Linked DNA regions of Arabidopsis thaliana. The protein of the gene in region 1 interacts with the protein of each later gene in a pairwise test. Each region holds a gene or a part of one and is shown in the gene's direction. Other genes may lie near its edges.

Evidence for each region.
Region 2: the proteins of AT3G44610 (region 1) and ERF6 interact in a two-hybrid assay, tested with the Arabidopsis thaliana proteins (one large-scale study listed by BioGRID).

What each region holds. Positions count from the first base shown.
Region 1 is NC_003074.8:16,187,403-16,194,169, reverse strand, and holds AT3G44610 (Protein kinase superfamily protein), read left to right. Parts: upstream 1-1,804; 5' UTR 1,805-2,062; coding exon 2,063-2,607; intron 2,608-4,946; coding exon 4,947-5,380; intron 5,381-5,527; coding exon 5,528-5,904; 3' UTR 5,905-6,041; downstream 6,042-6,767. Other genes in the region: AT3G44620 (protein-tyrosine phosphatase), read right to left, coding at 1-312.
Region 2 is NC_003075.7:9,752,036-9,755,972, reverse strand, and holds ERF6 (ethylene responsive element binding factor 6), read left to right. Parts: upstream 1-1,811; 5' UTR 1,812-2,151; coding exon 2,152-3,000; 3' UTR 3,001-3,149; downstream 3,150-3,937.

The sequences.
Region 1 (6,767 bases):
TCTCTTCTTCACGATATCTCTAAAGACACCTTCAGCCGCTGGGCTGCGACAAATGTTTCCGAGACAGACAAAAAGAACAGAGTAAGGTTTGGTTTCGCTGCTCTGCGTCGGAGGAGGAGTCGCCATTGAAGATGATACAAAGCACCTAAGCGAATGAGAAATTCTGGGTTTTGCTCGGATGATAGAAACGAGATTCGGGTTTTTATCAGATGATCGGAAATGAGAAGGACGAAATTGTCTAGTGTAGTGGCAAAATGGTAAATATGAAGGGATTGTTAGAGAAGCCGTGAGGTTGGGACAGTACATCATCATTCCCCTGAAAAGTTGGAGATTTGGGATATACGAGTTTTCTTCTTCTGCTCTTTGAACTCCTTTTCCGTAATAAGCAAAGTAATAGAGGGGTATAATTGGGAATATACATAAACAATTGTTGGATTAGGAGTAGAAGAAGATGTTAGATTTTAGAGACGAGGCTAATGCTAGAAGACCAATTTTGTTAATGTATTGTTGTATTGTGTTGAAGGTACTGAGGAGAACATTATGGTCGGTAATGCAAATAATTTTGTGTAAATTCACAGAAATATTTTTGTTTTGGCCGGCGATGTTTAACTTTCATGTTGTGTTGTAACTTCTATGACAAGTTAAGGGCCTTTTTATCCATGAGAAACCCACAAAGTTTCTCAAACAAACAAAAAATTAATATTATATTATAATTTGATTTTTTGATTAAAAAAATATTTTTGTTAAAAAGTTGAACCAATAATGAGAAGAGAATTATCATGATGGGTTGTAAAGAGTATCTCAGAGTTTCTCAAGTGAGAAACTTTCTACACTCTTTTTCCTTCATTTTTATTATTTTTTTTTTTTAATTGTGAGAAATTCTTACAAGAAACCCCCGATGGAGATGGTCTAAGTGTCTCATGTTTCAGTACTTTGTTGATGGATAATGCGTTACTTATTGGCCCAATTGTACAGATGGTCTTTAAACTCAGGCCTAAGGTTTTCAACAGATAGCCCATTTCATTCTCCGAAAAACAGTTAGTACTTATGACGATTATTTTTTAATTCGGATATATAGTTACAATTTACAAACCTCATTGAAAAGATTTGTTTTGGTCATTGTTATGAATGTTCTAAGTTATCAATTTATTTGAACCTCTTTCACTTGTATTTTTTCGGTCTGACTAGAAAATATCCGGTTTAAGACGAGTGTTACAAATTGGTAATATATCCAGGGCCGGACTTAACAAAACCGGTTTCGACCCAAGCAATTTGTCTTTCAATGATATGGTTATAGACACTTTCCTTATCCAACCTAAAATGTTTCTGCTGATTTCATTAATGAGAAAATACAAGGGTTATATACACTTTCCTTATCTAACATATTCACCCGAGTCAAACCGGTTAGGTATATGCAATTGAGTTAAACCAATATCTAAACCATAATGGTTTCAAAGGAAATGAAAACGAGGCCGAGCGACCAGTCGACCACTAACCTGAGGTTCGTGCAATAGGGATTTGAGTTCACGATACAAATTGTTCACCAATAACACCATCCTTGTACTTGGTGACATAATATTCAAAAGACAGTGATTAGATATTTATTTATAATTGTACCATACGAAGAAAATACTAGTAATCACAACTGAAATAGAACAAACACAAGATATGTATATGTCATTATCTTAATTCTGTAGGGGCCTAGATTTATATGTCTCTTTGTTTCTCTCTTTTGAAACAAATCCTATACCAAAGATCTTAAAAATTCATAGAGAAATCAAAAATCCCTCTCAAATAATTCCCTAATTATTGTCTATTTACATAAATAAAACATCTCAATTATAGAATACTGTATCATCATCTCCTTAACAATCGAACTATTACCTTAAATTACGAAACGCACCATATCTCAACCCTTAAATTACAACTTTGCCATCTTCTTTTGATTCTATTTTTTCTCTTCCCCAAAAAGGCAAAATCTCACAGTTACTTCTCTCTTTCTCTCCCTCTCTTCTTCTTCTTCTTCTTCTCTCTCTCGTCGTCACTCTCAGTAGATCGGAAAATGGAGCCATGGATTGACGAATTAACCGACGACTTACAGAGTGTAAGCTTTACATCAGCCGGAACCACCGTGAATCGAAGCACAAGCTCCGGTTCTCGCTCTTCCTCCTCCGCCGCAGCTTTAACACCAGCACCATCAGCTCACGGTTCATTCTCATCTTCGAAACTCCCTCCTTCACTCCGATCATCTCTCTCACTCTCCGATCTCAGATTCCGTCTCCGTCTCGGTTCCGGCGACATCGGCTCTGTTTTCTTAGCCGAATTCAAATCCCTAACCGCCGTAACAGAAACCACCGCCGTTAAATTACCTCTGTTAGCAGCGAAAGTTATGGATAAAAAGGAGCTCGCGAGCAGAAGCAAAGAAGGTAGAGCTAAGACGGAGAGAGAGATTCTCGAATCTCTTGATCATCCGTTTCTTCCGACGCTTTACGCCGCCATTGATTCTCCGAAATGGCTCTGTTTATTAACGGAGTTTTGTCCCGGCGGTGACCTTCACGTTCTCCGTCAAAAACAGACTCATAAACGTTTCCATGAATCCGCCGTCAGGTAACAGTTTCCGTTAAGTTATTTATTTTTTTAAATATTCAGTTTCTAATTCAAAAAAAAATCTTTTGGGAAGTAATTATTACTATGAAGCAGTGAATAAATATAAAAGCCTGATGAAATCAGGGAAGTGGGACTCGCCAGCTGGCGAATTGTCTCGTAGTTAACACTTAAAACACACATAACTGAATTTAATGGCACCGTTAATTAATCACTAGTACTAGATTTATTGCCTTTTTAACGGTAATTACATCGTAATTATAGTAACGAGATTTAGTTTCCGTAATTTCTTCTGAATTTTTGGCAGTTTTCAGTAACCTTAACTTATATAATTGAAATGAATTTTTCCAGATTTGTTATTGGAATATATGTTTTTATTGATTGATGTGCACGATAGTGTAGTGTATTTTTAGATAGACTAGAAAAGTCTATATACGCCACATGAAAAGGGACTAGAAAGTGTAATTTAGTTATTAATTAAAACTATAAAGTGGCGATTTATTTATAATATATAGTTTTTAACGGCAATTATGCACTAATTATATCACAGGCCCGTTAAGTTTGTTACTTGTAATAATAATACGCCACACAAAAAGGGACTAGAAAGTGTATATTATAAAACCATAAAGTGACGATTTATTTATAATATATACTTTTTAACGGCAATTATGCACTAATTATATCATAGGCCCGTTAAGTTTGTTACTTGTAATAATAATAATCCTAGTGAAAATCACACACAATCGAGGTTTAATTTCCGTAATTTAATCCGAATTTTTGGTATTTTTCACCAATAACTATATATTATTCATTGATGTGCTCGATAAATGCTTTTGTTTTATAAACTAGGAAAAGTCTATTTACGCTACACGAGAAAAGGGACTAAAAAGTATATTTTAAATAAAACCATTTGTATAAGATATGGTTTTTATTTTATTTTTATTTTTGTAAGCAGATGTATGCACGATTAACAAAAGTTGTGTGTGCATCTTACTTACATGTGTGGGCATATCGTAGGCCATAACGATTAATAAAAAGTCAAAACGAGTGGGGTTTGACTTTGAAATAATAACAAATCACTCAGAGACACGTGTAAGTCTTGTAGTGGTACTCCGCGTGATTGAATTAAAATCACGTAGCATGCCATTGAAGTTGAAAATTAATATTTTTTTGTAATCGGGCATGTGGTTACAGTACAAACAACATCCCAGCTAAGCTTGTTCTTATTTACAATTGTGCCAAGCTTGTTCTTCATAACAATATTTACAATTGTGCCATTCCTTATTAATTGGTTGGTCCTACAATTAGGAGGAAATTTTTGGAAAAATTATGAAATATTATTAACCTGTTTTGAAAAGTAGCTGTGGCTTCGAATTGAAGTAGCTGAAGTTATATCATTTGTTAGTTGAGTTAGCCACTTTTATAACCATTTATGGACCAATTTGTATCACGTGGTAAGTACTTGAAAACCGGATCTTGTTGTTTTTGGTTGATGTTAAATCTGATTTATTTGTGTTCTTAAGTTATTGTCAGATTGACATAGTAGTAGTGGTTTACACGTTAAAGATCCTACAAGTGAAGTCAAGGTCATTACCATTTGAGCATTTTTGCTTCACTCTCGCGACTTGTATCTGTGTGTTTTACTCATGAGCAGGACTTAGTTTTTATAAGGTTTCTTCTTTAGTATTAAAGTAAAATGATTTAGAATTGGGACCAAAACATGTATTGTAGGGATTCCTTAATATATATCTTCTTTTTTTAAGGTTGTCCTACAAAAAAGGTCCCCATTTCTCTCCACTTAGCTGCATTTTTTCATATAGAATGGGTTACTTCCTTTGAACTCATTTAGATTCTGATTTTTCTTTAAATGATATAGAGAACAATGGCTCTACGGAAATTCATACATGAACCGAATAAGATTGTGTGAACTTGTTCTTAGAATTCGTCTGTTGTACACTATGACTCTGTTTTGTGTGGAGTATGTTTGTTGATTGTGGACCCGTGAAGACAAAAAGGGTCAGCTAGAGGAATCTTGGATAATGTCTTAGCACCAGAATTCTCTATTAGACAAAAGAGTTCGTTAAGCCAACCAACCTTCGTAGGTCCTCTTTTGTTCCTTATGTATAGTGACATCAAACCCAAAACATCATCTTCTTGTCTCCAAATCCAAACAAATGCTGTTTTGTCACAACACCTAAAACTGTAAACCAATAATTCCAAAACAAACTCTTGTTAAATTATTGTAAAATCTCAATTATTCGTTTTGTCCTCACTACCATGTTTTCTTCTCTTTGTCCCTTCTTTTCAGATTACTAATCAACATCTCTTTACTATTTTTTCAGATTCTATGTATCGGAAGTGATCGTAGCGATTGAATATCTTCACATGTTGGGGATTGTGTACCGCGATTTGAAGCCTGAGAACGTGCTGGTTCGATCAGATGGTCACATCATGTTAACTGATTTTGATCTCTCCTTAAAATGTGATGAATCGACTTCCACACCACAGATAGTGCTGAACCGGAACAATCTTCCTAATGGCTCGTCTGACCAGAACGAGAACCAAGGCATGGACCACCGTCAAACCACATCATCCTCTTGCATGATCCCTAACTGTATTGTCCCTGCTGTCTCTTGCTTCCACCCGAGAATCCGAAGGCGTAAGAAGAAAACTGATCACCGTAACAACGGTCCTGAGCTTGTGGCTGAACCTGTAGATGTCCGGTCCATGTCATTCGTTGGGACGCATGAGTACTTGGCTCCTGAGATTGTTTCAGGTATTCTTCAAATCTTCCTCATTCTCATTTCCCCTGTTTCGATTTGAATGATTTTTATGTCAAACGTTTTTCTTCTTAGGGAAGTTTATATAATGTATAATTTTCCGATGTGGTATCCTAACATGAAACGTAAAATGTGGATGGCAGGAGAAGGACATGGTAGTGCAGTGGACTGGTGGACATTAGGGATATTCATGTTCGAGCTGTTCTACGGAACAACACCGTTCAAAGGAATGGACCACGAGCTAACCCTTGCCAATATCGTGGCTCGAGCACTCGAATTCCCGAAAGAACCAACGATTCCAAGCGCGGCCAAGGATCTGATCTCTCAGCTACTTGCCAAGGATCCTAGCCGACGGTTAGGGTCATCTCTAGGTGCAACGGCCGTGAAACGTCATCCATTTTTCCAAGGAGTGAATTGGGCATTGCTCATGTGTACTCGTCCTCCTTTTCTTCCTCCGCCTTTCCGCAAAGAACTTTTGTCAGATGACATTTGTCCGGAAACCCATGTCGACTATTATTAATAACTTAATTAGCGCTACGTAATTAATTAATTTTCTTCAGATATAATTATTTCTAAGAAACAAAATCAGCCTAATACTAGTATAGTTGCACTTTATGAAGAAAAAAAGCTTAGTATAAATGCATTTAATTAACGTTTAGATGTTCTTTTTGTAAGTTCTTCAAAACTAGTATAATTGAAGGAAAATAACTTGCTAAATTATTAATGTCAGCTGCAAAAAAAAAACAAAAAAACAAACAATATACGAAACACAAATTCAAAACTAATGCAAACCCTGCTGGACTTGGCGACATAATAATAATAATATACACGAAGCATCTCAGCCATTTATTGTAAGACCATCTCCATCAATAAAAATAAGGAAAGTTTCTAAAAAAAAAAAATAATAATATTTTAATCAAAACAGATATATTAATTATTATTTAATAGTTAAACTAATAATATGATGACACCTGTCCAAATTGGATGAGAATAGTTTCTCAAAGTTTCTCCTCCGAAAAACTTAACTCTCCTTCTCTTCTACTTTTTTTCATCTCTCTCGTACTTTTTTTTTTTAAATTTTTTTTGTTTTGTTGGGTATCTCATTGAAATACTTCCAATGGAGATGCTCTAAGTGTTTTGTTTAACAAAGCGCTAAACGGACGGAGATTTAATATTTAGCGCATTGAACGTTTTATCGGAATTTAAACAATTTTAAGCGGTTAAAACATATATTTATAGTATAAATATGATTTTATACCTAAATATTATGTAAAATATCTGAAAGTTTTTTTGTTAAAATGTAAACAAAAATTAGATAAAATATTTATTTAATTATATCAAATATTATATGAACATTTTTATAAATATAAACTTAGTTAAAAA
Region 2 (3,937 bases), on another chromosome or scaffold:
GTCTCTTGTTGTAAAAAAAAAACATTTACGATATTTACATAATCGAACTTCTTCACTGACTTTTTTTTAAATAAAAAGAATCTAACTGACATCCTCTCTAGACTCAGTTAAACAAAGAGTCTAGAAATTAGTTTAAACTCAAATACGTAACATAAGCCTAGTTTTGGAAACATGTGGACCTCTAGGCTCTAAGTTTTCATTTGTTGTGGATTCTGGCATTTGGCTGTTTTCTAACACACAACTCTGGTGTAACGGTACCATTATCCCAGTTTAAATATGTATAATGCATGTTTATATATATATATATAAAAATTAAAGACTAATGATAAGAAGAAATCAATCAATAATTGATTTTTTAAGTACTAGATTTTTTTCTTTCAGTTTTTGACATCCTAGATTTCCAGAAAAACTTGAAAAACTATAGCTAACATGAACGAATATAGCAAACATTTTTTTTTGTAGGAACGAATTAGTAAACATGAATACTCTGTAATTATTGAGAAGTTAATTATGGATTCGTCTGGGCAATACCCATTGATATTTCCCTTGAAACAAAGATATTTGTAATAAGAACATAAGTACTGGACAGACACACAGAGCTGAACTAGACATGTAAATTATTTACAAATGTTTTAAATAAGTGAAAACGTTGATTTGAAAAATATATTAGAAGATTCATTTAAACCTACATCTAGGATAAGCCTTGAGCAATATGTTTCATATATATAGTATAAATTGTCATACTGATAGAAAATTGCATATGTGTGTGTTAGGCTTTGTAAATTAGTTTCAAGTATGAATCAATATCTATGATGAAGTAAGCACATTCGTACGAAGACGTAAAATGGATATATCACGTTCGAAAGCAGCAACCAAAGCCAAAAGTGGTCACATGGTTTGTTGTTGTAAAATATATATTTTTGGTTATAATTATTGTAGAATAATTGAGACTAGAACTTAATTAGTATTACGATTCCGCTAATTACGCAGCCCTTATCTTTCGAGACTATAACTTTAATATTACGATTCCTCTGATAGTCTAATTATGCATGCATTTTTGTGTGTTTGCGTTTTAGTTTATGTTTTATACGTAAGGTAATATCTATTCACTTACAAATGAAGCGATAAGCTTATAATTTTGTAGCTTGTACCCGTAGACACAATAAAAATGTATATTTATCGGTGTAATGTTTTACTATGTTCGGCAACATTTTAACAACACTTTAGTTTTCAGTGATTATATAACAGCTAGAAATGAACATATATATAGTGTTGATCATTGAAATAAAAACAGCTTTCTGGTCTGAGATGTATAAAACAAAAATAATGGATATTTTATCCCGAAAGATTATGTAGAGATTGGATGAACAAATTACTGGTTGAACTTGAAATTATTGGACTTTTTTTTTTTAAATGTTTTTGGGCAGCTATACGAGAATTCCATGGGTCTTTGTCCACAAAATGTTGGCGACCATACGAAAACATCGTCGACATTCGACAAAGAGAATCTAGTCTTCATAACTAAAATATTTTTAATCCAAAAACAAAAATAACATCCGACGTACGTGAAGTAAAACCAGTGTTTTTCTTCCATCAAATTTTGCAACTATCATAAGTTTTTATATAAAAACGTGTGTTTATCCAAACATTGAGTTGATACGGCCGCTAAATTTTGATATTGCAAATGCATGCATGCGAAGAATTCTCACAACGAGTAGTAAATTAATCAAATATTAACACGAAAGGTACTTTATAATAACTATTACTAAACCGTACTAATATTTTGATAAACATGAATCGATAAATTCTTGTCTAATCATCTGCCAAAGAAACCCAATATTAGAGCGCAGCCTAATTAAAATATTTGTGTTTTGTTTTTTTACCCCAGCTGCCATTGATGAACCACACGATCAAACCGTTGACGAGGGGTTTATAATCTAATCAAACGGTGTAAAACCGGTGAAACACGCGTGTACATACACCATCCCGCATTTGATAATTTTAGATTTTAAGTTTAAAAAATCCTGAGGATGTTGCCTTGAAAGAGTCTCTCATTGACTTGACTCTTTCCTATAAATACACCTTTCCACTCTCTCTTCTCCACTGTCAAATCAAATCCCTCTTCCTCTTCAATTCTCTGTTTCCTCCAAAATGGCTACACCAAACGAAGTATCAGCTCTTTTCCTCATCAAGAAGTATCTCCTCGACGAATTGTCTCCGTTGCCTACTACTGCCACCACCAATCGATGGATGAACGATTTCACGTCATTTGATCAAACCGGTTTCGAGTTTTCTGAATTTGAAACCAAACCGGAAATAATCGATCTCGTCACTCCCAAACCGGAGATTTTTGATTTCGATGTGAAATCTGAAATTCCATCTGAATCGAACGATTCCTTCACGTTCCAATCGAATCCTCCTCGCGTTACTGTTCAATCCAATCGAAAACCGCCGTTGAAGATCGCACCACCGAACCGAACCAAGTGGATTCAATTCGCAACCGGAAATCCTAAACCGGAACTTCCCGTACCGGTTGTAGCAGCAGAGGAGAAGAGGCATTACAGAGGAGTGAGGATGAGGCCGTGGGGGAAATTCGCGGCGGAGATTCGAGACCCGACTCGTCGTGGAACTCGTGTTTGGCTCGGGACGTTTGAGACGGCGATCGAAGCGGCTAGAGCTTACGACAAAGAAGCGTTTAGACTACGAGGATCAAAGGCGATTCTGAATTTCCCGCTTGAAGTTGACAAGTGGAATCCACGCGCTGAAGATGGTCGTGGCCTGTACAACAAACGGAAGAGAGACGGCGAGGAGGAGGAAGTGACGGTGGTTGAGAAAGTGCTAAAGACGGAGGAGAGTTACGACGTTAGCGGCGGCGAGAATGTTGAGTCAGGTTTGACGGCGATAGATGACTGGGATTTGACGGAGTTTCTGAGCATGCCGCTTTTATCGCCGTTATCTCCACACCCACCGTTTGGTTATCCACAATTGACCGTTGTTTGAATTCTATTTTTCTGTTTGGGTCAGCTTGTTGTATGCTGACGTGGAATTATGCTATATCTTTTGCTTATTTTATGTTCACATTCGAGCAAAATTTATTCATTCGTTTATTTGTTTTTTAATACAACTCTTGATATTTCTAAATTCTAACCAATCACCTTATTTAGCGGCTACTGAGACAAAAATCGCATGTAAAGGCGAATCAATATGGAAAGAACAGAGAACACATAACACGAAGCTCCGATCAAATGACTTTTTATCATAGAACGTATTATTTTTCAATGGCATGTAATATGCTCGGATTTATTACCGTAACATCTTTAGCAGTCTCGATTATATCCTATTTGTGACTTAATATTTGAAAGCTCCATGACTCTTTTTTTTTTGCATGTATAAACTCTGACTAATTGACTTTTATAATATCTTGTTTTCTATAGATTGTTTCATTTGATTCATTTCTCATTTGTGACTTCATTTTTGAAATATCTATAAATTTGTAATCAATAATTACAATTAATAAATTAGTTTGGCGGAAAAAGCTCTAATCTTATAATATGGGAATCACGTATATATATTACAATTTCCATATTTTTGCATGGTAATATCTATGACTCTTTTCCTTCTTTTTTTTTTCTTTCTTTAAAACAAAAATGCTATGGTTCTTTTTGCATGGTAAAAGCTTTCCATTTTGATTTTTATACCATCGCCTATACGTCGATCCTTAAGAGTTTCTCTCATCCAATCTTAGACTTTTATACCACAAATCAACTTTTCCCTATATACCACTGCTTACGTTAAGTCATTAATACAGCTAATAGATTATTTAGATAACTTTAATAATCTCTTGTGTGTAAAACTGAATTTTGGTTCTTTGTTTATCTTTTTAGAAATCCGAATCATATCTATATTTACGGATGTGAACACCATAATTCTCAAATGG